Linked DNA regions of Ovis aries. The protein of the gene in region 1 purifies or fractionates together with the protein of each later gene. This does not show direct contact. Links are inferred from orthologs where the notes say so. Each region holds a gene or a part of one and is shown on either strand. Other genes may lie near its edges. The genes, in order: ADRA1D, SNTB1, UTRN, SNTB2, DTNA and CTNNAL1.

Evidence for each region.
Region 2: the proteins of ADRA1D (region 1) and SNTB1 purify together in Homo sapiens (tandem affinity purification; 4 studies listed by BioGRID and IntAct, with this or other methods). This does not show direct contact. The link is inferred for Ovis aries from reciprocal best matches to the Homo sapiens genes ADRA1D and SNTB1.
Region 3: the proteins of ADRA1D (region 1) and UTRN purify together in Homo sapiens (tandem affinity purification; 4 studies listed by BioGRID and IntAct, with this or other methods). This does not show direct contact. The link is inferred for Ovis aries from reciprocal best matches to the Homo sapiens genes ADRA1D and UTRN.
Region 4: the proteins of ADRA1D (region 1) and SNTB2 purify together in Homo sapiens (tandem affinity purification; 4 studies listed by BioGRID and IntAct, with this or other methods). This does not show direct contact. The link is inferred for Ovis aries from reciprocal best matches to the Homo sapiens genes ADRA1D and SNTB2.
Region 5: the proteins of ADRA1D (region 1) and DTNA purify together in Homo sapiens (tandem affinity purification; 4 studies listed by BioGRID and IntAct, with this or other methods). This does not show direct contact. The link is inferred for Ovis aries from reciprocal best matches to the Homo sapiens genes ADRA1D and DTNA.
Region 6: the proteins of ADRA1D (region 1) and CTNNAL1 purify together in Homo sapiens (tandem affinity purification; 3 studies listed by IntAct, with this or other methods). This does not show direct contact. The link is inferred for Ovis aries from reciprocal best matches to the Homo sapiens genes ADRA1D and CTNNAL1.

The regions. Positions count from the first base shown.
Region 1 is NC_056066.1:50,655,519-50,660,222, forward strand, and holds part of ADRA1D (alpha-1D adrenergic receptor), read left to right. Parts: intron 1-3,389; coding exon 3,390-3,979; 3' UTR 3,980-4,704. UniProt on the Homo sapiens protein: This alpha-adrenergic receptor mediates its effect through the influx of extracellular calcium.
Region 2 is NC_056062.1:94,924,404-94,929,107, reverse strand, and holds part of SNTB1 (beta-1-syntrophin), read left to right. Parts: intron 1-1,506; coding exon 1,507-1,723; intron 1,724-4,704. UniProt on the Homo sapiens protein: Adapter protein that binds to and probably organizes the subcellular localization of a variety of membrane proteins. May link various receptors to the actin cytoskeleton and the dystrophin glycoprotein complex.
Region 3 is NC_056061.1:69,059,888-69,064,591, reverse strand, and holds part of UTRN (utrophin), read right to left. Parts: intron 4,085-4,704; coding exon 3,956-4,084; intron 1,739-3,955; coding exon 1,568-1,738; intron 1-1,567.
Region 4 is NC_056067.1:35,944,862-35,950,221, forward strand, and holds the start of SNTB2 (beta-2-syntrophin), read left to right. Parts: upstream 1-1,758; 5' UTR 1,759-1,761; coding exon 1,762-2,341; intron 2,342-5,360. UniProt on the Homo sapiens protein: Adapter protein that binds to and probably organizes the subcellular localization of a variety of membrane proteins. May link various receptors to the actin cytoskeleton and the dystrophin glycoprotein complex.
Region 5 is NC_056076.1:22,643,633-22,648,953, reverse strand, and holds the start of DTNA (dystrobrevin alpha), read left to right. Parts: upstream 1-1,728; 5' UTR 1,729-5,321. UniProt on the Homo sapiens protein: May be involved in the formation and stability of synapses as well as being involved in the clustering of nicotinic acetylcholine receptors.
Region 6 is NC_056055.1:14,330,528-14,335,231, forward strand, and holds part of CTNNAL1 (alpha-catulin), read left to right. Parts: intron 1-698; coding exon 699-747; intron 748-3,482; coding exon 3,483-3,539; intron 3,540-3,678; coding exon 3,679-3,894; 3' UTR 3,895-4,618; coding exon of another isoform or gene 4,619-4,704. UniProt on the Homo sapiens protein: May modulate the Rho pathway signaling by providing a scaffold for the Lbc Rho guanine nucleotide exchange factor (ARHGEF1).

The DNA.
Region 1 (4,704 bases):
TTTGCCCTCGACTTTCTCTGACCAGCAAAATCCTCATTGTCCACCCACACAGAAGACAGGACTATGGAAAATTAACACCCTGAGGGAGCAGCCCAAACACTGACTGATGGGAATGGGAGTATAGATACCTCACCTCCCTCACCCCACTGGTGCGACAACTACAGTCCCCCAGAGCTCCCAGTGAGATTGCACCCTGGTGGCCCATGGCAGTGACTAACTGGTTAACTCTCCTTTCATTGGCTTCCTTCTCTTCCCTCTTTTTATCACATGTCACTACTGGTGTTTCATTCACCTTTCAAGTGAACAAGTTGTATTTGAATCCTTGTCTCAGGTCTGCTTCTGGGAGGACCAAAGTAAGACAGAAACCTCAGCAAGACACAGTAGGAAAAACGTGGGGCTGAAAGGCTGAGTTTGAACCCCAGCTCCTTTGTGTGTAAGGAATTCCGAGCTGGCAGCAAGCTTCCACATAGGTTGGTTAAGCATAAATTAGAATTCTAATTCTTAAAAACAAGGCCCAGGCCACACTACAGATATGCCATGTTCCCCACAAAATTCAAATCAAAACCACATTGATAACAAAGCCCCTTGGCTGGTTTTTGGCTTACTGCTGAAAGCATAGTCCCCTGATTTGTCATCCTGGGCTAAATATAAAAGAATTCTAGCCTGAGTCAGAAAGTTATTTTCAGCACTCAGTCTTACTTTGCAGCCATTGAAGGATGCTGTTCAGAAGGCTGTCTTTCTGGAGGCTGAGGTCAACCCTGGTGGCCCCTGGATTCCAGGGACAACTGCCCGATACTTCTCCCAAGGGAAATTATCTCCTAAACACATTCTGACTGATGCCCCAGCCTCCCCCAAACCCACCAAATCTCAGCTTCTGTTTCTGGCCACTATCCAGAGCTGAGAACGGAGTCCCTTCAGGACTGAGGTCTCCTCTCTCAAAAAGCCACAAAGATATGGAAGGGGGAGGTGAATAGACTCCAGTATTTAGTACAAACCTGCTAAGTCTTACACCCTGAAATTCATGATTCATCAAAAAATCCCTTTCAGAGAAACATTGCTATGTATATTTCACAGAAAAGGAAAGTGAAACTTAGATGGCCAAATAACTTGCTGAAGGCTGCATGACCAGAGTTTGAAAATCCTGTGCCACGCAGTACTACCTGACATTCCTCTTTCTCCGCCTCTTAGCACCAGGAATCTCACCAAGTGGGAGGTGGGTGATATACAAGAGCCCACAGGTCAAAGAGGGACCCATGGTGCCTCTGCTCCCTCAGTAAAGGCCCTTGCTCTTATTTCTTTGAGGACAAGAAAACAAAGCATGTTTCATGGATTTGTCAAGGACCACTCCCCTTGTTCTGCTCACCCTGGCAGACACCTAAGGCTTTTGCCTGGGATGGGACAGTCTTGCCACCTATCCTTGACCCCTGCTGCTATTGCTGTGGAGGATGATGAGGGTGACAAAGTGGCCTGTGCTTCCTGAATGATGTCTTTGCACTTTGTTAGTTGCCCTTGGAGGTATGACTCCTTAAGGTCCATGGTGGGGAAAGCAGGGGAGAGGTTTGTGGGGAAGAGGGTCTTTCTGGCACGACTCAGACTTCCAGTACCCCCACTCCCTCCTGTCAGGCACTCTGCTCCCTTTTAAAGCCATCCCAGAAGCCTTCCCTGACCACTTCCCACTTCCACTGGGACAGCTCCATTATCCTGCATTCTGGCAGCCCATGGGCATTGCATTTGTTCAGTTGCTAAGTCGTTTCTGACTCTTGGCAACCCCATGGACTGCAGCACACCAGATGTTTGCTCAAATTCATGTCCCCTGAGTGGCTGATGCTATCTAATCATCTCATCCTCTGCCACCTCCTTTTCCTTTTGCCTACAATCTTTCCCAGCATCAGGTCTTCCCCAGTGATGTTCTTCACATCAGGTGGCCAAAGCATTGGAGCTTCAGTTTCAGCATCAGTCCTTCCAATGAATATTCAGGACTGATTTCCTTTAGGATGGCCTGCTTTGATCTCTTTGCAGTCCAATGGGACTCTCAAGAGTCTTCTCCAACACCACAGTTGGAAAGCTTCTTTCGAAGCTTCTTCAGCGCTCAGCCTTCTTTATGGTCCAACTCTCACATCCATACGTGACTACTGAAAAATATCATAGCTTTGACTATACTGACCTTTGTCAACAAAAGTGATGTCTCTGCTTCTTAATATGCTGTCTAGGTTTGTCATAGCTTTCCTTCCAAGGAGTGTCTTTTAATTTCATGGCTTCAGTCACTGTCCACAGTGATTTGGGCATTGTGTTTATTGAGGCTTAATTCTAGGTTCTATCTTTTGCCTGTTCAAAAATATCCGTATCTCCTAACTATCCACAAAATAAAAGTGTGACTTTCCAGCATTTAAGGCCCTTCACCATCTGTCCCAGATGAAGTTTTCTGAGCCTATCCTATTGGACATTCCCCTGCCCAAACTTGTTATCCTCTTGCCTACCTCTCCATTCCACTCCTGATAACCTCTACCCTTCCTCATCCTGCCTGGCTCCTGTCTATCCTGAGACTTTGGAAGCCCCCCCCAACCCCAATATACTGGGCACCACCATCATCCCATCTTCTTTCTCATGATATTTGATCCACTTTGCTACTGAGAGAGCAGGACCTCAGGTATTTGAGGAGAGTCCAGGACAGTGCCTGGCATGGAGCAAGCCTTGGTCAACATTTGATTCAGGAGTCTTTACCCTTCTTATAAAGCTAGGGACTACTTGGGCATCTGACAAAGTGTATGGAGCCTTTATCAGAATTACTCTTTCAAATGCATAAAATAAAATACAAAGGATTACAGATGGAATCAGTTTCATTGATTTTTAATTGAAATTTGTGATTTAGTATTAAATGTACTTCCACATGAAGGCTTTAAATAACAGGATCCACTGGTGTGTTCTAGTGACCATTTCCAAATAGGGAGAAGCATAGACAACATTTCAAAACATCTCCACCAACTGCTAATATTATGTAGAAAACTGACAATATTGCACTGTTTTGTAGCTGCAGTTTGGAGCTACAAAACAGTGATTTCAATGTCATTTTGTCTAATTCTACTCAGGTTTGTTGCTTACACTTGCAGGAAATGCTTGATTTCAGGTAAATGTGAGTAAAACTGAAGATGGTTGTTTTTCTTCATCAACGTTCATGGATACTCTTGAATTATATCAGGAACCCATTGAGGAGAGATATCTTGATAGCCCCTAGCTGATGAATGGTCAGAGCCCAGGAAAGGTGCTGTGGGAGGGGGAGTAGTGTGGAGAGGGGCTGCCTGTGGAGAGGGGCTGCACCAGGGGCAGCCTGGGGCTCCCTGGGGCTCCCTCTTCCTGAGCATCTAACCAGCCTGGGTCTCTGCTTCCCACAGGCTCCCTGTTTCCACAGCTGAAGCCCTCAGAGGGCGTCTTCAAGGTTATCTTCTGGCTGGGCTACTTCAACAGTTGTGTGAATCCACTCATCTACCCCTGCTCCAGCAAGGAGTTCAAGCGTGCCTTCTTCCGCCTCCTGCGCTGCCAGTGCCATCATAGTCGCCAGCGCCACCGCCCACTCTGGCGTATCTACAGTCGCAACTGGCAAGCTTCAAATGGCAGCCCACACCCAGACTGCACTCCTGGCCCAGGTGCCATACCCACCAGGGCCCCACAGGCCTTCACTGTGCCCTCAGCCCCTGGCTCCCTGGGCGCACCCAAAGCACAGGCTCCAGCTGTCCCCTGTCGAAAGATGCCCTGCACCTTCCGTGAGTGGAGGCTTCTCCGGCCATTCCAGAGACCTGCTACCCAGCTGCATGCCAAAGTCTCCAGCCCATCGCAAAAGATCCACACCAGAGAGGCCATGTGCGCCCTGCACTCAGAGGTGGAAGTGGTGTTCTTAGGTGTCCCCCACGATGCAGCTGAGGGTACTACCTGCCAGGCTTATAAACTGGAGGACTACAGTCATCTCCAAGAGACTGATATTTAAGGACCTTGAGTTAGGCCAAGGAGTATGCTGGGGTGGTGGGAAGGGTATGGAGAAGGAGACTGTCTTTGTTCAAGAGGCAGGTAAGAATCAGAGACCCAGAAACTAATCAGCATCAGTTTTGGCAACTGCTCTCCAGCATCTGTGAGGAACTGAGATGGGTTGAGGGTTTTGAAAGTTATGGGCTCCCCATCCTGGACACAGACGCCCCCAGCTCCTCCTTTCAAGAGAGGGGCTACAGGCTCCTTAAGGCCATTTGCTTCCAATCCCTGCTTGAGAAACACTGCCCCGTCTATGCTGTGAACCCTGGGTAGGTGGCCCCAAGTATAGCCAGGCAGCCCTGTCCCTCCTCTTGGGGAGTAAAGGGCACAGAGGCCTTGCCTGGCTGTTCCCAATGCCTCCCCTCCAGGAAAGGTCACTTGGGCCAAGGATTCTCAATGGACACAATTTCTTCTTAGCGCAGACTGGAGAAATCCAGTGAGCCTGCCATTGCCACCGGCATGCTTTGGTGGCAGAATAAATGACTGTCCTACAAGCCTGTTGTATAACCTGCAGGCCACTCTGCCCTACAGAGGCTCTGCCTTACCCCTCATTTTGTCTTCCAAAGGGCCTTACTGTTTACACTCTGTATATAGCTCCTTATGCCTGTGCCCATCACTTCTTGCTGGGATCTAGAACCATCAAATGGGGAGAGCTTTGTCATTTTTAGACATATTTATTGGTCAGGG
Region 2 (4,704 bases), on another chromosome or scaffold:
GACTTTGTTGCTCTTCAGCATGGAAACCGCGTTCTGTTTGTCCCTGCAGTCTCCAGCAGCCTGACTCCGTGTGTCCTAGAGGGAAGCCACTAGTTTGTGCAACTGAATTGCCCAAGATCTGGAGGAACTGCCCCTTGGGTTTGCCACCCATTTTAATCCACTGCCATTTGTAACAGCAGATGCCATTAAGGGCCCCGAGCAGCAGAGAGCCAGGCTGTGTGAACTGTAGGAAACGGACGTGGAGCTTACGTTGCGCGTTCCAGGATCCAGGTGCCTTGTCAGTGTGAATGCTCTCTAAGAACCAAGTGCTTAAGTTCAGAATCAGCAAATAACACCTTAATGTGTGCTTAGTCCTCGGTCGGGTCCCACTCTTTGCGACCCTTTGGATTGTAGCCCGCCAGGCTCCTCTGTCCATGAAATCTTCCAGGCAAGAATACGAGTGGGTTGCCATTTCCTTCTTCAGGGGATCTTCCTGGTCCAGAGATGGAACCCAGGTCTCCTACATTGCAGGCAGATTCTTTATCATCTGAGCCACCAGGAAAGCCCCAACTAACACCTTAAGATCAAGTAAACATATCAGAGAGCAGAATTTCAGTCTGCTCCACTCAGCTCTTGAATGATTGTTTCTTTAAATTTTAAAACACAATGTATAACACAATGGCTAAACATGAGAAATTATATAAAAGAGCAATAAATGAATAATAAAGGTCTATTTCTCCATCATCTTGAGTTTCATATCCACTCCCAGAGCTAACTACCATTAACATTTTCTTGGACTTCTGTCCATGAACTGTAGTAGCTACACAGGCATATATATCTATGATTGTAACCACAATCACAAGTAACCACAGTATATGCGCTGTTCTCTAGTGCTTTTTAAAAATAGATAGTAGATCTTACAGGCCTCTCTACATCAAGACATCTGCATCTATCCATTTTTAAATGAACGTAAAGGTGCCTTACGATTTCTTTAATCCGTTCTCTTTTATTGAACCTTTAGGTTGTTCCTAGTTTTCAGCTCTTACAAGTAATATTTTTGCCATCATAGATGTCTACCGTTACATAGATGTTTTTCTGTGTATTTCTTTACATACATGTTCTCAGCACTGTTTTTTGAAAAGATTGTCCTTGCTTCTGAACAGAATGGTAATGTGGACGGTCAATGTGGGTACCAGATACCCTACATCTATACTGAATAATTGCGTTTCTTTTGACTAAGATATGCTTTCGCAGTCTCTGTTCGTTTCCCAGCCTCTTCCCCAGAATGCACCTTATAATCAGAAAAGATAGACGTTGTCATAATCGGAAAACCTGAGAGTCATTCTGAAGTTCAGGCCATCTTAATGGCAGACTGTAAAAACCACGCTGGCACCTAAGGAACAGACAACTATTATCCGGGGAATGTAAGAGGGTCCTGTGCTGCTGGTCCAGCGCGCTCTCGGAAAGCCGCAGCCCGCCGGGACCCTCAGCGCTGACCGAGGCTCTCTGTCCCCTCTCTGCTTGCAGTGAAGTACATGCGCGAGGCCACCCCCTACGTGACCAAGGGCTCGCCGGTGTCCGAGATCGGCTGGGAGACCCCGCCGCCCGAGTCCCCGCGGCTCGGGGCCGGCGCCCCGGACCCGCTGGCGTCGCAGCCGCCGTCCTTCCACCGAGACCGGAAGAGCATCCCGCTCAGGATGTGCTTCGTGACCCGCAGCCTGGCGCTGGCCGACCCCGAGAGCAGGTACGAGTGGGCAGGCCCCTCCGAGCTGCGGTCCTCGGGCGCAGCTCCGCGAGCAGCCTGTGTGTCAAGCGCGCCCCCCTCCTCTCTTCTTCCCTCCTCCTCTCTCCTTCTTCCTTTATCCTCATGAGGAATCTATGTGTTAAGCTCTCCTTCCGGAAAATGTTGAATCCATGGAGTCAGGATCTTTTGTCTCCTCGCGGGTCTGCCTCTGCCGGAAGCTGGGCCAGTTTCTCAAGCGCTGAGCCTCAGTTTTGGCTTCTGTAAAATGGAGATAATTGAAATCCATACTTCCCTGAGTTATGAAGACTGAATGAGGAAATCCACGTGAAGTAGCTAGCCCAGAGCAGCCATCCATGAACACAGGCCGTGATACTGTGTACTACTGATGTCGGGTGGCAATAAGCATGGGCTTCCCCAGTGCTCAGTGGTAAAGAATCTGCCTGCCGTGCAGGAGCTGCGGGACTGTTCAGTCCCTGGGTGAGGAAGACCCGCTGAAGGAGGGAATGGCAGCCCATGCCAGTATTCTTGCCTGGAGAACTCCATGGACATGTAGCTTGGTGGGCTACAGGCTGTGGGGTTGCAGAGAGTCAGACACGACAGAAGGGAGTGAGCACCCGTGCACAGGGATAAGCGTATCAGCCTCCCTGGGGCCCTCATCTGTGCCCTTGGAAGGTTCAGGGAGAGGATCTTCAATGCTGTTTTCTGCTCTGAACCTCTCTTTATTCTCAAGAGAGGAAACAGAGAGGTTTGGATCCAAGTCTAGGATGCTGTTTCCCAAAGTCTGTGCGTGACTTCTTTGTCACAGCCTAGATGCATAAACCAATCCATGGCAATCAGGAGTCCAGGCAAGATGAGCAAATATTTGGGGTCTCTCTTCCCCCCAGAGTCTTCATCTCCTCCGCACAGAAAATGTACATCTGGAATGAAAAGAAAAGATGTGTAGAAAGGAAAGAGGGAAACGGAGCCGGCGAAGGGGGAATCTTGGTGACCTTTGCATCCACATTTAGATGCTAAAAATAGACAGCTCTCCTGGCCCTTATTTATAACAAGTGTGGGACAGCTGTGACCCTCCCAAGGAGGAAGTACTTGGCTAGGTTCAGGGCTGCTGGTGGGGAAAACCCAAAGGAAATAGAAACAAGGAGAAAGTGGCCTCCTTGGCTCCCAGCTCGGTGCTGTTTGGTTCTCTTCCCTGTGAACTTAGGCTGAAGAAGCTGCTGGCCCTTCTGACCCCAGCCGGCTGCCCTCTCCTCGGTCAGGGATCAGAGATGGGCCTTTGTATGAGACAGCCCGCCTCTGCAGAAGAGAGCAGAGGAGGCGGGGAGGGCGGTTCCGAGCGGGCCCCGCCTGCCCGGTCCGCCCGCCTGCTGCGTTCCTGCTGCCTCGGGGCCACAGAGCGGCCTCCGCACTGACTTTCCTCTTCCCTGACTTTTCTTACCCACCTAGTCAGAACAAGTCCTTTCTCCCAAGAGTCTGAGGTCTGAGATTTCAGATCTGATGAATTCATAACTTACCCACTGCCGGTCTTGTGCCGGGCAGCATGCTAATTACTTTAGCCCTGACACTGCAAAGTGCCCACGCCTTCGGGTGTGCCTAGCCCACAGTTTTTTTTTTGTTTTTTTGTTTTTTGTTTTAATGGTCTATCTAGGGTTGCAAAGATATCTGTGAATTAGTTGCCACATTGACTAGCTGGGAAATTTCACGTTAAAAAGCCAGATTTCTGCTTTTTTAGAAAAATCAGAAGATCTAATGATATCCTTAGGCCTACATTGCTGCAGGCAGGGCTCCAATCTGTAAAGATCCCAGAAAAGACCTCTCCTTCCAAAAGAGAAGAAGCTCTTCTCATCAGTCCTAATGCCTTACGCTTAAGGGATTCAGTGTAACACCTGCCTGCCTGTTCCGTTTCCGCCTAGTCCTTGAATTTGTAACCATGCTTAGACCTCTGCGTCTCAGTCATCATCCCCATTCCACAAAGATAACTGAGGCTCAGGGCTCATATAAGTCCCTGTCTTCATAACTAGTATGTGATACAACTGGGATTTCATCTTGTTCCCATAGAGTGGGTGACAGTGTTAGCTTACCGTTACCAGAAAAATACAGAGACTAGGAAACTTGGGCTGTCTTGGAAGTGGTTAATGCATTGGGGAGAGGGTTTGAGACAATGTCTAGGGTTCCTTTCATCTGTGGACTTTTATGCTATCACGTTTCTCCCAAGCGTTTAATTACCTTTTAAAGGCTCTTTGGCGAGATATCAGGCTTTAGTTCAAAAAGCTTATTTTATTGAAGTACAGTAGATTTACAATGTTGTGTTAATTTCTACTATATAGCAGTTATTCAGTTATATTATACATATATACATTCTCTTTAGTATGTTTTCCATTATGGCTTATCCAAGGATATTGAATGTAGTTCCCATTTTTTAAACTTTCATGTTGGTGCTCTTCAGGTTGGTCTCTGGTGAGTGTATGTAGGGCCTCCTACATGGTGAGGGAAAGTTTGTCCTCTGGGATGTGAGGGTGTGACTGCAAACGAGAATCCAGCTAAGCCAGAGGGTCCAGGAAGGGACTTTGGTCCAAACAGATCCAAAACTGTTGACGGTAAATTAACCGTTCACAGCAAATCTGTGTATCATGTCACCATGATGCAAACTTTACATGTCTTATAATTTTTTCAATTATACCTCATTAAAACTGAAAAAAAAAAAAAAGACTAGGTGACACTGGTTGAATAAGAGAAGAAAAGAAAAAAGCAACAAATACTCTGTGGAACTCCAGTCACATGCTAGGCAGAGTCTATTACACCATTCAAAAATATGGATTTTGCAAGACTTTCTTGGTGATTCAGTGGTTAAGGCTTCCAGCTTCCCAGGCATGAAATGCAGGTTCAATCCTGGTCTGGGAACTAAGATCGTGCATGCTGTGTGGCACAGTCAAAAAATTTTTTAAAAAGAAATATGGTATAGGGCTGGGCAGATTATACAAGGC
Region 3 (4,704 bases), on another chromosome or scaffold:
CCATGGACTGCAGCCCACCAGGCTCCTCGGTCCATGGGATTCTCCAGGCCAGAATACTGCAGTGGGTTGCCATGCCCTGTCTCCAGAAGATCTTCCCAACCCAGGGATCGAACCCATGTCACCTCAATCTCCTGCAATGCAGGTAGATTCTTTACCAGTGAGCCACTGGAGAAGTCTAAAATCATGTAACAACTTTAATAAAATGAAATGCAGGAAAACTGGCAGTGTTGACTGAACATGGGGAAGCTAGCAACCTCTCTGGAAAAATCTATTTAACAGCATTTATATGAACAACTTTCACAACAATTCCAAGGAATTCTACGAAGTGATCCTAAGGGCATATTAAGACACAAGCAAAAAGACATGCATAAGAGAATTTTAACAAGACAATATTTAAAAAAGCACAATAAAAGTGGAAAACTGACTTAAAAACCACAACAGATCATATAGTTTAATACCTGTTAAAAACCTTGTCAAAGGAGAATACACAAAACAATATAAAAATGTTGATACTTTAATATCACATACATATAAGAATATAAATACATGCCAAAATGTTAACAAATTATTTACAGGAAAAATAATCATTTTCTTCGTACTTTCTTTCAATCCTCCTCTTATGTCTCTTATATTACTCTTTTACATTTGTAGAAAAATCTCCTATAGAGCTACTGAAAAGACTAAATAAGTAAGCTTAGGTCACAAGGTAAGGAAGGCAAGAGTTAAAGCAAGATTTTTGTTTGTTTTCTTTAAGTTGCAAATAATCTAAATATATTCTTGGGCTATGAGAGATAGTTTGGCCTATTATATCAGATATTTTGGGATTCCCTGGTGGCTCAGTGGGAAGAATCTGCCTGCAAATGCAGGAGACCCAGGTTTGATTCCTGGGGCAGGATGATCCCCTATAGAAGGAAATGGTAACTCATTCTGGTATCCTTGCCTGGGAAATCCCATGGACAGAGACGCCTGGTGGGCTGTAGTCCATGGGGTTGCAAAGAGTCAGACAGGACTTAGCGACTAAATGACAACAACATCAGATATTTCAAAACAAAGCAAAGTTAGAGAATATTTACTTCCTACAAAAAAAGAGGACCCTCCTCTTAGATAATTTGAATACTTGAAACCTTTTCTCAAATGGGTTATTTTCTTTAATACTAATTTCTTAGATTCTCTCCTTCATTTGGACAATCATAAATAAGAACGAATGCTCAATCAAAGAAAAGTGATAAAACCATTTTTGTTTAATTTTTTTGTTGTATATACCATATAATTGAGGCTTCCCAGGTGGCGCTAGCAGTAAAGAACCTGCTTGCCAATACAGGTAGATAAAACAGACGTGGGTTCAATCCCTGGGTGGGGAAGATCCCCTGGTGAAAGGCATGGCAACCCACTCCAGTATTCTTGCCTGGAGAATCCCATAGACAGAGGAACTTGGCAGGTTACATTCCATAGGGTCGCAAAGAGTCGGACACGACTGAAGCAACTTAGCACGAGCACCATGTAACTATCTACCATTCAGCTACATATCTACAAGAAAATAGTTTTATATAAAAACATAATTACTTACTTTGGCACTTCTGATGTGTTGAGAGACTTTTTCAAAATTTCTGTTCAATTCAGCTAATTTTGGTTCTACAAGCTCCCGGCTTGAGCCTCCACGTGCACTCATCAAAACAACAGCTTGATCTCGGACGTTTTGTACTTGGAGATTGACATCATCCATCTCAGAGAGTAAACGCTAATTGTAAGAAAGCACGAAATAATCACATGGAAAAAATCAAAACCAAACATGGGTGCAGTGCTAACTGGGAAGTAAAGGGAGCTTAAACAAATGTCTGAGACTTCTAGTAAGAGACTTCTGTACCATCAATTTGAATAAGAGCTGTTCATATATTTAACGAGAGAGAGAGACAGAGACTCATTCATGCTATACAGGAAGCATTTTAAACTACTCCCAGTTTATATAAAACTTTACTTTATAATTGAATAGTCTATAAGATTTATTGTGTCATTTCCTCAACCATCTTATTCTAAGAATTGCAAAGTTTCTTGAGGCTGATAAAAGATTAAGTAGCAAGGAACAGACTTTAACTTCTTTTCCCCCTAGAAATCTTGTTTACCGCCATCCCCCTTTCCTTGGTGAAGGTAAACTGGTTTGGAAGGGAATTGAATATTACCATTTAGTTTTTAACTAAAATGTACAAGAACATTACGCAGTCTCCTCTGGCTAATTTCATAATGGTCATTAAATTCATTTTCAGGCCTAAGAAAGGGATGCAAATACCTGCCTCAATTCCTACTTCATTCATAAGTTTTTGAAGAGTGCTGGAATTCTCTCAGGAGTATGGCTATGAGTACTTTTTGAGTACCCGCTTATCTGTATGTATCTATAAATTCTGCAAATGTTTTCCTTGTGATTACAAGAATGAACGATACCACAAGGCACTCAGTGATCTAAGACATGGAGCCTAATCCACTGTTCTGAAGAATCTGTGCTTGTTATGGTGGCTGAGAGAAATTAAGTCGTTTGAGGAAGTAGTTTTTAAATTAGTGTATGCAGATAGAAACAGGAGAACATCAGCTTAACTATGGAACTTTTAGAATGTGTTGTCTTGCATCTAAATCTGATTGTCATATTAAAAAAAAAAAAACAGCCACTGCTTGTCTCAAATTTCGCTAGTTATGTAGAGATTCTTGAAATTCTCTTTAAGAAAAATCAAGCGGAAAGAAAGAAACACTTGGCAGATAGGTCTTGGCTTTCATGAAAAATTGTCTAAAGGTATGCTAAACATATGTTAGTGATCTAATAAATGTAATAAATTTAATAAATTCACTAAAAGTGTAGTCCAGGAAATAAAGAAAATGTAGTGAAGAAAGGAAACTATCTCATTCTTTAAAGGTTTATAGATGCATAATAAAACACTCTAAAATGGTTTTGTTTCATATAAACCATCTGGTGTGAAAAAAGCTCTGTAACATCTAAAGGACCTGAATCAATTGTTATTTTGCTGGCAACAGACACATTCTTTATTGTTTGCAGGTTCCTCATCAAATCTTTAATTATGCAGTGTTTCCTGGCATCGATAAACAACGTGAAGGGGAAAAAAAGATTCATTCAGTGATGTCTGCAAAATGTTTCGAGAGTATATTTGTAACCCAGAATTCAACTGTTCATCCATATCTGATGCGTCAGAGAGTTCCAAAGAAGGATTGGTGGGGCCTGAGCAGTAGATAGAAAAGATTTCCCAGGGGGAATTCTTAAAAGTTAGGTCTGACCTTCAACTTTGAAACAAAATGTAAAAACACAGGAAAGAATAAGGGCTACTCTTAGAAATTTTCTGAGACTCTGGAGTTCCCAAGACAACAAGTTCTTCTTTGCTTATCACCAGTGCATAAGAGTATCAAGAAGCTGAGCAAAGTGAAGAAGTCTGCCATACGGCACTTCTGAAAAAACATACTATCTTTTCTTTCACAGCAGATTCCTCTGAAAAGCTGGATCAGTGGGGAATACGTACCAAGAAATGAAAGCCAATTACTCATTATGAAGTCTGTTTTGCTCCAACTTTCTGTAGTGCCACCAAATTTTGCAAGTCATGAAAAAAATAACTAAAACTGCACTTCTGCTGTTAACTAATGATGCAGCATTCAACTATGCACCATGACAAAATGAAGTATTTTCTGTCTTCCCAGCTTATTAAATTACAATGGAAAAATTATGTTAACAGCCCCATAATGTGGCACTTTTAGATGCCAATTCTTACCTAAGAGGAATGGAACAAAAATTTAGCTAAGACAAAAACCAAAACAAACAAAACGACTCATTTTGTTTATCCCACCAACATAAAAGTTAATAAATCTGCACGAGAAACACATGTGTGCAAGTAACTTGGAATATTCATCAAGACAAAGGAGATAGCTAAACCTTCCATTCTCAGAAGTGTTACTGATCTGCTACCTTCACAATTTCTTCTCGTTTGCTTGCTGGCTTTTTTTCGATCTCATCCAATAGTGCTTCAGCTTGATAAAGCCAGGTGCTTATGTGAGCAACATTGCCATCAAATATTTCCAACTGGTTCTGATGGTTCTAGAAAGGAATTAATAAAACACTGATACAACCATATGAAATAATTAAGACAATAATCTTTGAAGACATTTAAAAGGTCTTCAAACACCTAAGTAATGCTGAATTTGAAGAAGAACTTCTACCTTCCTGCAAAGCTCTTCCGCAGTGGATAAATATCATTCCAAAAAATGCACAGCTGTAAAAGTGAAAGTTTTAGTCACTCAGCCGTGTCCGACTTTGCAATCCCATGGACTGTAGCCTGTCAGGCTCCTCTGTCCACAGAATTCTCCAGGCAAGGATACTGGAGTGGGTAGCCATTCCCTTATCCAGGGGATCTTCCCAACCCAGGGATCAAACCTGAGTCTCCCACATTGCCAGCAGATTCTTTACTATCTGAGCCACCAAGGAAGCACAGCTGTGGTTGGGTACTTTTTCATTTTAATTTAGACCTCAAAATAATGAAAAACTGAAGACTAAAAGGCAAAAAGTTTCTTTATAAATTTCATTTTATTTTAATCCCTATTTCTCATTCATATACTACAAATAATCTTATTGGCCCTGCCTTGATCATATTAGTTAAGAACTCATTTAAGGCAGCAGCAGCATTTAAGTACTAGTAAAAAAGCATTTCAAATATGGTT
Region 4 (5,360 bases), on another chromosome or scaffold:
TTAGGAGAGGCTGGAGGGTTGAGCTTCTGCTGACACTTGCAGCTTGGAAAATCCTGCTCTGCTAATTGCAAAGAGGATTCTGCTGTAATGATTTTTTAGGGGTAAGATACTCTTCTCATTGTGAATTCTTTCTTCACTTGGGCGCTGGGTGATTTTCTAGTCTCTATTTTTATTGTTTTCACTTCTGGTATAGGAGGCTCTTTGAAAGTTTCTGCCCATACTTGAATGTGCATTCAGAGTGTTGCATGGACACAGCTTACGAGCTTCAACATGAACTTCATGAGCAAGCAGGTATACAAACCCCTTTTACAGGAATTGGTGTACACTCCCTGGGTTGGCATCCCCCTTTTCTCTCCCCTCCCCCCGCCAACTCCCCTCCTGCCCAAATGAAAATAGGGGAATTTTGCTTTTCCTGCCAAAAAAAAAAAGGAACGTTTGAGGGCACGGTGATCTCATGTTTTTGAGATCGATCTTCCCAGTGTGATTTCTGGACCTCATCCTTGAGGTCTGGACTTATGTTTGTTTGTTTTTTTTAAAAAAAAAGCACTGGACCAGGAGGGTGGGAGACGTGAGTTGTCTTTCTTCACTGTGAGCTTTGGGCCAGAATCTTTGACTTTCTGGGTCTCAGTTTCCTCAGCTCTTCTTTTATTGTGTAATTTTAAGGTGAGATAGCTGATTTATTCTCCCCATTCTACTAAAGCAGTGTCTTTTTTTCCTTTGAGTATAATTGCTTTACAATGTGTTACTTTCTGCTCTTCAAGCCCATGAAACTGTAAGAAGCCAGTGGATTGTATCACCTGTATCTTTGGATAAAAACCGCTGCAGGCCCTACATTGTGCAGTGTTTCTGGGGAGGCCCATGTGCACTTGCCCTAACATAAGGCCATGGCCTCCAGGGTGAGAAAGTCAGATCTACAAATTCAAGTCCAAACACTTCCAAATATGTGGTTATATTCGGCGTTTTACACTCGTATACTGTCGTTGCCACTGACCCTATCCTCTCTTGACATTGGATTCTGGCATCTCCCTAAGTAACCATCATTTTACGGATATCTTTGAGACCTACCTATCGTGACTGCGGGGCTAAAGATATTTTTCCTCTGACATTACTGGCAAGTAAACAGGGGATTACAAAGCAGAGTGACAAATGCTCTGACTTTTGAGTTTCATTGTCACCTCTATAAAGCTGACCCCAGACCCAACTAAATGTTCTCATCTGCTCACAGGGCATTTTGTACTTGACACTCACCACATACTATAACATCAGGTTAGCTGATTCTCTTTGTTTTCCTCCCCAACTAGACTCTCAGCTCTCAGCTGTGGTGCATTTTATTCATCTCATCTCCAGGCCTCAAAAAGGAGCACACTTGGCGGAGCGTTCTGTAAACCAATCAATGCAAAAGTGTACCTGCAACTGGGTCTTGCAGGCTTGCAAAGTGCCTCTCGAAGCTGATTTTACTCTCTGTGCCCAGGCAGCTCTGGCGAGTTGCACGGTAGAAGTCAGGAGCTGGGAGTGGGAAGATCGGAGGCGTACGAGGGAGAACGTGAGACAGCCCAAACCACGCGAGCTGCCCACGTCCGGTGAACTGTAACCCACTGGACCTCGGGCAACTCCTTAACCTCCCGGAAGCTGCTCGGCTGTCCTCTCCCCTCACCTCCGGAAGGTGGGCGTGGCCTCATGAATAATGAATCACCGCCGGGGGCGGGGCCGGACCCGCCCCCACGGGCGGGAAGGGGGAAGCGCCGAGGCTGCCTGACTGGAATGAGGGTAGCTGCGGCGACTGCGGCGGCGGGAGTGGGGCCGGCCATGGCGGTGTGGACGCGGGCCACCAAAGCGGGGCTGGTGGAGCTGCTCCTGAGGGAGCGCTGGGTCCGAGTGGTGGCCGAGCTGAGCGGGGAGAGCCTGAGCCTGACGGGCGACGCCGGGGCGGCTGAGTCTGAGCCCGCTCTCGGGCCCGCGGCGGCCGCCTTCAACGGCCTCCCGAACGGCGGTGGCGCCGGCGACTCGCTGCCCGGGAGCCCGAGCCGCGGCCTGGGGCCCCCGAGTCCACCCGCGCCGCCGCGGAGCCCTGCGGGCGAGGCGGGCGCGTCACCGCCGGTGCGCCGCGTCCGTGTGGTGAAGCAGGAGGCGGGCGGCCTGGGCATCAGCATCAAGGGCGGCCGCGAGAACCGGATGCCGATCCTCATCTCCAAGATCTTCCCGGGACTGGCGGCCGACCAGAGCCGGGCGCTGCGGCTGGGCGACGCCATCCTGTCGGTGAACGGCACCGACCTGCGCCAGGCCACCCACGACCAGGCCGTGCAGGCGCTGAAGCGCGCGGGCAAGGAGGTGCTGCTGGAGGGTGAGCCGGGCCGGCGGGCGGGCGGCGCTGGGCTGGGCTGGCCGGCGCTCACTTTGTTCTGCCACCCTGCCCCCTTTGCGGGGCCAGCCCCTTCCCTCCCACTCGGAGACCTCACCTTCCCCTCTGCTGGCGGCAGGCTTCCCCACAACCCCGTTGCTGGGGCTTTGGAGATGGAAAAACTGATGCTCCCTGCAGGAAAAGTTGGGCTGCCGCCGAAGTGTGGCTTGCAGTCCCCTAGGAAGGTTTTAGTTTGGAGCAGCCGTGCTTGAAGCCCCTCCTCTGCACGCTAAGCTGACACTAAGAACTAGAACAGGACTTCTGAAGGTCTCCGTTTGCCTCCTGAGTGGCGCTTTCTTCACTCACCTCTGGTTTCTTAGGCCAGGCAGGTCTGTTAAAAAAAAAAAAAAAAAAAATTTCATCCACACCGATGCCAGCGGTATGCTTGGGCAGACCACCAAAACGCTGGTTAATTTATGGGAATTTAACCCATCATTGGCTCTCAACAATAACCAAAGGAGATCATAGCACTTCATCGAAGCCAGAAAGCTGAAACAGCAAGTTTGTGTGGTTAATGAGCCTTGTTTAACAGTGGAGGCTCACGTGTTTGAACTTTTACTGTCAACTAGAATTTTGCCCCTTTTTGCAGGAGACGGGGTGCCAGCTTCCTACCATTCACAGGCTTCAAGGCTTTAAGCTTAAATTCAGAAGCCTGAAGTGTTAAATCTCAAGTCACGTTTGAATAGTCAAGATTATTCTTTTAAGTTTGAGTGTGATCTGTTACCTGAGTCTTTTATGGAACTAAGGCAAAATAAATTTTATCTTCTTGAAGGACTCATGCATGTTGGAGGTAATACTACTTCAGAAATTTTTGAGTGATCAGCCTTCTTTCACCCATTCAGTCATTTAAGAGGCATTTATTGCTGACAATACAGAAGAGAATATAAAAGATGATGTGTCTCTATTTGGTGTCTAGTTGGAAAAATGATAGAAAAATGCAAAACAACTTACAAATTATAGATTGTGGAGTGCAAACTATATGAATACCAAGGGAGTGCAAAGTTAGGAAGTAGTGGAAATCAGCTTGATCAGGGAGGAGTTTTTCAAGAAGCTGAGTCTTGAGCCAGGTCTCCAGGGAAGTGATGGACATAGGCAGGGATGAGTCAAGAGGGTATTCCTGGCAGAGGAAGAACAGAAGGGAAGGGGTGGGGAGTGGAGGTAGGAAGTGGCCAGTCATCAAACTGACTGAGAGGCCAGAAGTCTAGCTTGGCAAAGTGATTTTCACTTTTTCCTAAATCTGCTAGTAAACATTTGGGAAGGTGTTAGTTTCCAAGTAAATATTTTAATGTGCTCTAATTGTGAAATTCCAGTCTCCCACCTTATAATATCCTATTTATAAATATTTATATTTCACTTAGGTGGGGCTAGGCACTACTCAGAAATTAGTGTTAATAAAAGGAGTAAAATTATAAATTGTGGCGATGTGGGTTGTATGTGTGTAAAAAAAGAAAGAGTTGCCATAAATGTGTGTCTTGAAATTGTGCTAGCTAAGAATTTGGTTATAAATTCTTAGAGCCAGAATACTGACTGTAGTACTATTTATGTGGTGCTCAGTGGTGATGGGCAGATGTTTCAGCTCTTAACCCATATCTATATTTTTTAAATCTAGTTTTTGTTTAGATATAATTTGAACGTGGTATTCATACCACTTAAATAAAAATCATCTAGTAAACACTTCATAGTATTCATTAACCTAAAATAGGCCACATGTGCTTTTAGAAGGAGGCTTTACAAATGGCAGCATAATATTTAGTGAATGTTTGTTTACCTAACACAGGTTCTACCTTATTTTCCCATTTTCTAAAAGACAAGACATTTTTGTTCTTATATGTGTGGAGAGGTATGAAACTGAACTTTAAAAATCAAAGGATATAAAAATAAAATTGCTTATAATATGCAGAACCACTGCAAACAGTGATTTCATAGAATCAGTCAAATGTTTAAAATTGAGAACTAGTGACCCATCCAGGAAGGCTACTTTTAAAAGATAGATTTTTATGCTTAGAGTTTTAGAACTGAATGATCCTTCCATTTGATGTCTCAAAACTTGAAAAACTACCTTAACATAGCACAGTTTAACATAGCACAGTGATGCCCTTTTGTGGTGCGTGCAGGGAATTTTAGGCAACCTTTATCACCCCCAGGCAAAGCAAAGCTGTACTGTCTGGTTGCCTGTGGTTAGGGAACCCAGTGAATTGAAGGGTTTTTTGTCGTTGTTTTTAATCTCATGGATTTGTAGGAATTATTCATTCATACATCAAAGGTTTGTTCAGGTCTTCCACTTGCCAGAGTCGCTTAAAAATAGTCTGATTTCTGCCCTCAGGAAGTTTGGAGTTGAGGTAAGAGAGAGTTAAGAAATAGTACAGCTAAGGGCTAAAAACTGTGAGAATGCAACTCTGGAGAGGGTGCAGTACAAAGAAAGACCCTTGTGGGCATCAGAGGTTGAGGATGCCCAAGAAGAGATTGATGGAGAAGTTCAAGTTTGAATCAAGCCTTCCCCTAAGGAGAGAGCTACCACCAGTAAAGACAAATGAGAGACCTGAAGAAGTCAGTTTGCCCAGGGAGGTTAGAGCACACATGAGGGCTTTGTGGTCAGCTAGACCAGGCTATGTTCTGGCTAGTGGTTTGTAACCCCTAGGCAAGTTACTCAACCTTGCTGCACCTTAGTTTCCTCATCTGTAAAACCAGGATGATAATAACACCTCTTCACAGGGCTGTTGTTCATTTGACAGTTTTTGTGCCTGGAGCCTTTGGGGGAACTGGGAATAGAAGCAGTAAGCAACAGTAATGAAAACAATGAATAAGGAAGGTAGGACTGGGTCATGAAGGTATGCTACGAGTTAACAAAGACTCTCAGAATAGCCAGAATATCAAGTTGTTAAAATCCAGGGTTCCATTTTACTTGAAAAGAAATACATGATAAGAATAAGTTATTTAAGGTGAACAGGTCAAGAATGATTTT
Region 5 (5,321 bases), on another chromosome or scaffold:
GCAATTGCTTAATCTCTCTGAAGCTCGGTTTCCACATAAGTAAAATAGAAAGAGTAATACGCCATTGTTATGGTGTTCTTATAAGAACATAATGAGAAAATTCCTTCTTAGTGTTTGGTATCTTGTTCACTTTTTTGTAAAACAGTTGTGTTTTAAATAGTATTGTGATTTTTATTATTGTTACTGTATCTTCTCCCAGAAAACGTCTGATTTTCTTGTCCTCTTGCAGAAAACAATGAACTCCCTGCCTGTCCCCTTTCCACCTCTCCAAACCCAGCATTCCCCAACTCTAAAAAATAAGAAATGGAAAATTTAAAGCACGCATTCCTCCCTGGCTTATATCTGAATGCTCAGTGCCCTGCCCTTCACTTTTATTCTCATTCTCCTCAGGGAAATCTAACTCCTACAAATCCAGATAGCAATTAGCCCATGGTCAGTAGTAGCCTCAGTTTTGTTTTGCTTTCTCAGCACATTAGCCATGGACAAGAGAGGACCTGTTTCTTTCTCCTATTCTTTTTGCTGCTGTTTAGTGGCTAAGTTGCATCTGACTCGCGATCCCTGGCGAGTCCGCCAGGCTCCTCTGTCCACAGGATTTCTCAGGCAAGAATACTGGCATAGGTTGCCATTTCCTTCTCCAGAGGATCTTCCTGACCCAGGAATGGAACCAGCACCTCCTGCTTGGCAAGCAGATTCTTTACCACTGAGCCACCAGGCTAGGCCTTCGTACTCTTTTCAGGCTCCTCCAAAACAAAATCCTTTCAAGCACCAGGAGTCATGCCAGTAAAGTCCTAAAGAACGTTGCCTTTCCAGATGCAAGTTTCTGCCTGACACTCGCATACTGACTTTGTATATCTGGGCACCCTGGGTTCTACTACATGAGGAGCCCATCACTATCTTCTCTGCATCATGCCAGCACTACCTCAACATCTTTCCTGTTTTCCTGGTGTTCAGAGGCCAGGTTGCTCTCTCCTCTGGGCAGCTGCTCTGCAGATATATCCATTGACTGCTCCCTTTCACTAATGATTAGTGCTCCCTAAAAAATAAAGCTACCTTTGATTCTCACCAAATCCTGGCTTTCTTCCTCAAAACCAGCCCATGCAAGGAGCTATAATTTCTTCATTTGTGTATCCAGAGACATAAGCATTTTGGTGGGGTGAGGATCCATACTTTTTATCAAATCATTGAAAGGGGCTAAACTTTAAAAGAAATTATAGACTGGATAGTATTGCATTGCTTAATCAGCTAATACCTCTTAATTAAGAAGCTAAGTTGAATGCAATCACTTCAAAAAAGTTTTGAATTACATTTTTACAATTTATCAAATTATTTTACTTGCATAAGTGTGTATACATATACACATTTTTACATATCCAAGTAAAATAATGTATATAGTATATACAGTATATATGGGACTTCCCAGGTAACTCAGTGATAAAGATCTGCCTGCCAAACAGGATGCGGGTTTGATTCCTGGGTCAGGAAGATCCCCTGGAGAAGGAAATGGCAACCCGACTCCAGTATTCTTGCCTGGGAAATCCCATGGACAGAGGAGTCTGGCAGGCTATAGTCCATGGGGTTGCAAAAGAGTCAAACACGACTTAATGACTAAACAACAACATACAATATGTATACTATTATCTGTATAATACTATGTATATACTATACATATATAGTATACATGTATACTATATAAATATAGTATACCACTATAATGAGATTAAGTGGGGCTCAGAAATAAGTGGGGCCAAATTCAAAAATTTGGAGTTGTCTTATTGCAAGATTAGTGAAAAACTGTCTTACAATTACGGGGAGAGGGGAATTTTCATTCTTCATTTATTTAATTTCATTCAATAAATATGTCGGGAAAGGAAATAGACCTACATTTATGAGCAGGGACATCCTACACTGAATTGAGACGGTTCCAAATAGTCAGAAGGCAGACCGTTTCCTAACACCCGCCCCTCAGAAGTTAAAGACTTCACAGCCCCAGCAGAATGGCAGGGAAGACTCTGGTTCCAGTATTCAGGTTAACCATAGATCCCCCATAACCAAGTGGGCCTATCCAGTATGTCCCCTACATACAGATGAGTCCTGTTCTGAGAGTGCATTCATAAGTTCAATTTGTTCATAAACCCAACAAAGTTAGCCTACAATTGACTATACAGTACTGCAATGTAATAGGTTTATAATACTTTTCACACAATACATTAAAAATAAGCACAAAAAATAAAGAAAACACCTTTAACCTTACAGTAGAGTACTTGAAAAGCACAGTAGTGCAGTACAACAGCAGGCATACAGGGGCTGGCATCGAGTGAACAGGCTAGAAGAGTTACTGACTAGAGGAGGAGGGAGGGGAGGTGGGAGATGGGAGAGCTGAAGGATCGTCAGCAATGGGAAACGGAGAGCGAGCCGCAGCTTCACTCACACCTGGTGTTGACAGCACAGGTTCTGGCTCTTTGCTGGATGCAGCTCTATCTAACCCTCTTGATAAAAATGACCCAGTGATGTCTGGGTCATAGCTCCTTTGTTCTCATCAGAGATGACACGGTAGCACTGCACTGCATTCTGAACGGCTGCTGGCTCCTGCGTGTACTGTTCTATGTCCAGGTCCTGTGCCTCAAAAGCCAACAGTGACTCCTCAGATAAAGAAAACCTCCTTGCCATTTCCTGCTCCACTTGTAGAGAATGCACACACGTGACAATGTACGCCAGACACGTGAGCTAACTTCCGTGACTGGACATGCAAACGTACATTCGCATCTTTGAAAGTTCACAACTTGAAGGTTCATGGGGACTTCCTATACAAGTAACATTATTGCTTGTGAGAAATATAGATGCGCACACACACAACCCTTGTCCCAAAGGCACATCATATGAGATAAAACACGGTTCTCTAAAAACATCTTAGGTCCCAGTGCAGAGCTGAAGGCAGCGGTACAGATGACCCCCTGTACTTGTGGTTGTCTCCCCCAGAGACTCTTGAGGTCCCTTTGATGAAGCTCTTAGGCAGGGCTTCCAAGTCCTTCAAAGACTTTCTAGTCCTTTTAACCTCACACAACAGAGTCCAAGTTTTTATCATCTTCCTTCCAAATGGCTCCTTTTTCCCCATACCAAACTGCTCCCAGCCCTGCTCTGCAATCTTTAAATCCTGACTAATAGGAGGAGGTGAGAATCATACCCCCGTGCTCTTGAGCAGAAGGCCTAGCCTCATACCAAGCCAAATGGAGTCAAACAAAAGCCAGTGACCTTAAACATCTTGTACACTCTAACCCCAGAAAGCCTTCCTTCCTGACTTGAAAGTACCACTGATAGTACTCCTCTCCAGATAAAAATTGTTTTCTCACTTTTTAATGACATTTTTTTTGTTACTTAAAGTTTGCCTTAGTATGTACCCATATCAATATATCAGGGCTTCCCTGGTGGCTCAGACGATAAAGAATCTGCCTGCAATGCAGGAGACCTGGGTCCATCCCTGCATTGGGAAGATCCCCTGGAGAAGGGAACGGATACCCACTCCAATATTCTGGCCTGGAGAATTTCATGGACAGAGGAGCCTGGTGGGCTACAGTCCATGGGGGGTCACAAAGAGTCAACTGAGCGACTTTCACCATCACCATCGTCATCAGTGTATGCATATTTACATTCTCTGAAGAATTAATTATCTTCTCCCTTGGCTCAAAGTACATTGTAAAGTGGATCTTACAAGCTAGAGAAACATATTATAAGGCAACACAGGAATTCCAGCCTAGGGACTTCCCTGGTTGTCCAGTGGTTAAGAATCTGCCTGCCAATGCAGGGGACATGGGTTCCACCCCTGGTTTGGAAGCTAGGATCCCACATGCCTCAGGGCAAGCTTGGTTCACCGCAATCACCAAGCCGGCTTTCCTAGAGCCAGTGCTGGGCAACAAGAGAAGCCACCGCATCGAGAAGCTGTGCACTCGTGACTGGAGAGCAGCCCCCATTTGCTGCAACTAGAGAAAAGGCCAGGTGCAGCAACAAACACTCAGTGCAGCATCGAACACTCAGCACAGCCAAAAATAAACTTTTTTAAAAAGAATTCCAACCTGTTGTTATTGTTCAACAGTCAAATTCAACTAACACAGTATTTCTAGTATTAATCTGGCTATGTATCAGGGATGCCTGTGATGCACTGTTAAAGTGCAAGGGTTCCACTTCAACCCCCGATTCAGTAGATCCAGGTAGTATGTATATTTTTTTATGAAGTCTCCAGGCCAGGGTGATGTTCAGCCACTGCTGAGAACCACTATGGTGGGTACTTTGGAGGAAAGACCAAATCCCTGATAACAAATCCAGCGGGTCCTAGCCCTAAAATAGTAAGCTCATGTCCCTCATTCCCCAAAACAAAACTCAAGTTCCAAGATGATGTTCAAAGTAAAAGGCTGAGCCAGAAACCCATTATAGCCATTTATTTCAGTGACAGCATTTTCCTACTTTCAGGAGCTCATCTAGATAAAGGACTAGGAGGTAGAAGCAAATGCAATTATACTTTGCCTCAGGAAAGAGCTCTGAATGCTGTTCTATCATATTGCCAGAGATCGGGACTAGAAAGTAAATCTGAGAAAATGCTATCAGAGGCCCCTTTTCATTAATAGAAATGGAAACAGGCTTTTATATGCCACCAGTAAAGAATCCACCTGCCAATGCAGGAGCCGCAGGTTCGATCCCTCGGTTGGGAAGATTCCCCTGGGGGAGGAACTGGCAGCCGGCTCCAGTGTTCTTGCCTGGGATAACTCTATGGACAGAGGAGCCTGGCAGGCTACAGTCCATGGGGTCACAAAGAGGTAGACACAGCTGAAGTGACTGAGCATGGACAGGCACACAGGAAATCAGTTGGGGAGGAAAGGAGCTTGGAAGGGCCTGCATTGCAGTTATTCACTTTGGGCATCCCCACAGTTGGTGACGGCTGGACCCCACACGTTCCTGTCATCCACCTGGAGCGAAGGGAGGGAAGTGTAAAACCTGGGAAGGGGCTATCACACTAACTGCTAAATCCTCATGTCTAGTGTTTGCTAAAGGGGAGCAGAAGCCAAGCAGAGCCAGACATTTCTAAAAACACTGTCAGCTTTGGTGAATTTAAAATGTGAGAGTGTGAATCAGGGTATGAGTTGCTGTGTTTGTATGTGTCTGGGTTTACATAAATCTGGACGCTGGGAACTGTTTTCATCTGAATGATCATTTCCAAGACGACAGTGATTTAAAATGGGGGGATTCCGGTAAGAAGTAACACCCAAAGGGATTTCTTAGTGACGTTTGAGAGTTCTGTGAGTCCTTTCTCCCTAGTCTCCTTTTGGGCTGTT
Region 6 (4,704 bases), on another chromosome or scaffold:
TTCTGCTTCATAATTTCATTTGTCCTTCCAACAGTTTATCAGCATAAAAGAATGTTGTATTCATAACTAGTAGCTACTGAGGGCCATCGGTACCTGCTAGATTTCAGATCTTCTGATTCCCGCCTAGGCTGTTGCTCTTCTTAATGTATTCTGTTGCCCTTTGTTGTAATTTACTTTTCACTTGTGAAGTTCTTAATTCTTCTTGGTAGTTTTCAGTGTGATATTTCTTAATCTTCTTGATGAGAGTGGTAGCACAAATATTGTTTTGCTGATTTTATAGACTCAGAATTGAAACTTCTGACGTGCCTTGCCATAGTTGAAATTAGAATAAAAAATGAGAATTTCTTGATTTTCGGTCTCATCTTTTATCTCTTATGGAACAAAGGCGTTTTATTTTCAGATCTCATATTTTGAGTTTATGAAGGAAAATAAAGTTAAAAAAGAAACATAAAACTTAAATATGTCAGTTTTAATTTTCTTTACATTATAAAATTTACATATATAATGTTGACCAGTTTTTAAACGTGCCTTTAGAGGTAAGAGTTAAAGCTGCTTTAAGAAGAGTGACAATATTACTCGACTCTTCAATATTATTCTTCAGATTTTGGATCTGTAAATACACAGGATGCTCTAAAACTTTAAAATCAATTTCTAGGCAATAACTTTTTCTTAGCTCCTTAATAATTATTTTATTTCAGGGGAGAGGGGCCATTAAAAACCTACCAGGATTTAATTCATCAACTAGAGGTATGTTTACTTTCTATTTTATGATAATACTTTAATTCCGGACTAAAAGTTGGTAACAGATAGTTTTCTGAATGATTTACTATGTCACATTAGTGTGTTTACCTGTACATACCACACGTGTACAGTAGAAGCGTGGTAGAAAAGTCAAGGGTTTGCACAGCGTATTTTACAGCTAAATCTAAAAAACGGTTATCCTTTTTGGAAAAAAAAACATAGGGATAAAGTAGAATGGGCTTTGATAGTCACTAGATGGAATATTAAGGTTTAGGTTTTCCCAAGTAGGTAAAAATATCCTGTTAGCAGATGCCTGTCTCTTATATTGTCCTGAATACTAGGAAAGCTTTTTGACTTCATTATTGCACTGGATGAATGGTATTGACTAAATGAGGAAACACATAAGAAAGCTTCTGTCACAGGCTTGAGACCATTGCAGCTTCGCAGTACATGTTAGTTTCCTTCTTCCATGGTCCCGATGATTAGGGCCTTCAGGGAGAGACAGAAACACCGACACCTGCCCTTCTGGCCTGTGTGTCTTACGAAATTTCACGTAGGCCTGACTCTAATCCTCCTCCCTTACTTAGAGGCTTAGATGGTGAGATTACAGGATGCCTTTCTTGTTTCCCCTGACTCTCATGTCAGTCTGTTTGCCTCTCTAGAACCAAGGGCATTCTTGCATTTGAAATTTCTATCACTTTATCACCTTTATATAGTTTCCTTTGGCATTCCCCTGTGCTTTCACCTAAGTCTCTTCAGGAAAGGGATTTCAGCTTGAGAGGATGCCAGTCAACAGAGTCAGAAGAACTGCCGGAGATATTTCATTTGGTTTTTCTGTAAAATTGACTATGAGTGAGCTATTTCTGTTTAAAAAGTTGGAGTAAATTCTGGATTCATTTTGTTCAGTTTGACCCATGTCCACTCCAAGGCAGACCACATCGTAGAGAGTATTTCACTGCAAAATTATCCACTCTTACCTTCTTTCTGTGTTAGCGTATTTATTAAACCAACATCTGCTGAAGTGTCTACATAAAATGTTTATCAAATAGTCATTGAATTTGTACTGATGTGTCAGATCCTGGGGTTAAGAGCTCTGCGGAGAAAAGTGAACAAAAGGAAGCCCCTTCCCCTCCCCATGGAGCTTACATTCTAGTGGGAGCAGATAGACAATATGCAATTAAGTATATAATGCCCATATATAAATACTTAGAGATAAAAACATAAAAGTGATAGAGGGATGGTCAGAAAAGACCTCTTTAAGGAGGTAATATTTGAGTAGAGTGCTGAGAGAGTGAGCTAGCTGGATATCTTGGGGGTAGAATATTTTAGGCAGACAGAACAAGTGCAGAGGCCCTGAAGTACAGGAAGCGCAGGTGTCTGAAGAACAAGGAGACAAGCGTGGGTGGAATGGAGTGAACAAGAAGGAAGGTGGTAACGTATGACATCTCTGAGCCTTGGGAGAAACCTTGATTTTTTTTTCCCCCCCAAGAATGATAGAAAACCCATTGAGGGTTTTGCAGTGGCATGACCTGACTTCTGTTTTCAAAGGCTTTTGGTTTGACCAACAGGGTAAACAGTAGCGCCATTTACTGACATAAGGAACAGAGGGACAACACTGGATTTAGAGACTGGAAATCAAGCATGTAGTCTTGCTCAAGTAAGATGTACAGTTCACGTCAGGATAGCTCAAGAATAGAGAGACTTAGGAGTCATCAGCTTTCAGGTGGTTTTGAGACCATGATATTCTGTGAGACAGGGATCTTGCTCCTAGGGGTTTGCAGGCTAGAAGGGAAGAGCTGATACGTACAAGAGAAAGTGGTAATGTGGAAAGATGAGGAGGAACATGTGGGTTAAGTGAATCATTCCATTAGGTTTGAAGGTTGGTGTGAAACACATTGGTTTCCCTTTTAAAGGCTAAGGAGGGATGTAAAGGGCTATTTGACCCTGAGATCAGTTTATCCCATGATAGCAAGGCTGTTGGAAAGAGGGTTAAAGGTAACCCTGAAATGATTTTCTCCTTCTTCATATGCTTTACCTAATTTATTACCAAGATCTATTCTTTTTCTTCAAAAATCATTCTCAAATTTACCCAGTTCTTTTTACTCTTAATGCTGCCACCTAAAGCTACATCTTCATTTCCCTGGTATCTCTCACTCTAGAAGATTCTATGTACCATTTGAAAATAATCATCCTGAATAGTCTAAAGTATTTTCCAGCATTCTTTCCTGTCATCCTATTCTGCTTACTAATAAAGCATAGAATGTGCGGTAAGTAGTAAAAATCTAATCTGAATTGGTCCATTCAGATGGCTGAAGAACGTGTCTGGGTGACAGAGTCCCTCTTGCTAAGCCAGAAGCAAAAACTAGTGTTCTAATGCTTTTGACCTCATGTTCCAAGATTCATCACCCTTTTATAATTGGGGCTACTATGGGATGAACTTCAGATCCATCCAGAAGCCCAGACATAATTTTTCTAAGTATCGCATGATCCTCCACGGTAATTGGAGGTGGCCACACGTAGAGGAGCCTCTGCAGGGATGAGTTTGCATCAGGTCTGGGAAATCTGCTTGTGGATAGAGTTAAACACTTATGTTTTCCTGGGCACAGGGAAAACCGTAGGAGTTCCCATGACAGGTGTTTAATGTTTGGGTTTTAGTTTTAAATTCCATATGAAAATTATCTATGAGTGTACTTGTTACCAATAGAAGACATACACCTAAAGTAGTTTTTCCTTTCTACCAGGTTTTTGCTGAAGAGGGTTTGAAGCTTGCTTCAAGTGTACAGGCTTTCTCAAAACAGGTAATTCACATATCCCCCTGCCTGGTCCTGGTGGTGATGTCATAAATACTCATTTTGAGAGTGTATTATTAAGATATATTTGATGTTTAAAAGGTGGCATTTCATTGGAACTGTTATAACTGCCATATTTACATTTCAGCTGAAAGATGATGACAAACTTATGCTTCTCCTGGAAATAAACAAGTTTGTCCCTCTCTGCCACCAGCTCCAGACAATAATTAAGACACCTTTACAGAATCAAGTGTTTCTAAAGGTAAAAGGGACAGTGGGATGTGCAGGAAGGCACTTGAGAAACGTTCACACTCCTTTTTTTATTAGGTTAGCATCCAGCCTCTTTCTTCAAATAAAGTGTTAATACCCAAAGTACAACTGATTTCCATTTTCCTGCCTCAACTACAAGAACTGTTTATCATCTGTAGCTGACCTCGGGGAGCAGTAGGTTCACCAGATAAGTTAGCTTTTTGGACATGATTAATGCCATAGCACTGAGCTGCTGCTGCTGCTAAGTCGCCTCAGTCGTGTCCGACTCTGTGCGATCCCATAGACAGCAGCCCACCAGGCTCCCCCGTCCCTGGGATTCTCCAGGCAAGAGCACTGGATTGGGTTGCCATTTCCTTCTCCAATGCAGGAAAGTGAAAAGTGAAAGTGACGTCGCTCATAGCACTGAGCAGCTGCCCCTAAATGTCACCATCATCACCTGTCTAGGGCACAGACCCTTCAGAGAGAAAGGCTCCTATTGTTTATCTTAGGAAGTTTGTGTGCAGCCGAGTGCGAGGGATTGCAGGTTAAGGGGCTCACTGCCACTGGTGCACACTGAGAAACCCATCAGTGGTCTGAAATAGAGCAGGTTGGTTTTGCATTCATTCTCCTGAGGCTCCATGAAGTTGGCACACACGAGACCTCAGCAGCAATCGCGGCTTCTGTGTTCTGGGGCCTCAGTCCATCAAGTCAGTTCAGAGACCTTAATCTGTATAGCCGCTGAGATCCCTTAGATTTCTGTAATGGTGAAGTTGTAGATACTAAAGGCTTTTGAAGGCCCCCTGGTAGGAATTTGATCTGCTTGCTTTCTGTCACTCCAGGTTGATAAGTGTATTACAAAGGCAAGATCCATGATGGCTGTTTTGGTTCAGCTTCTCTCACTTTGCTATAAACTGTTGAAGAAGGT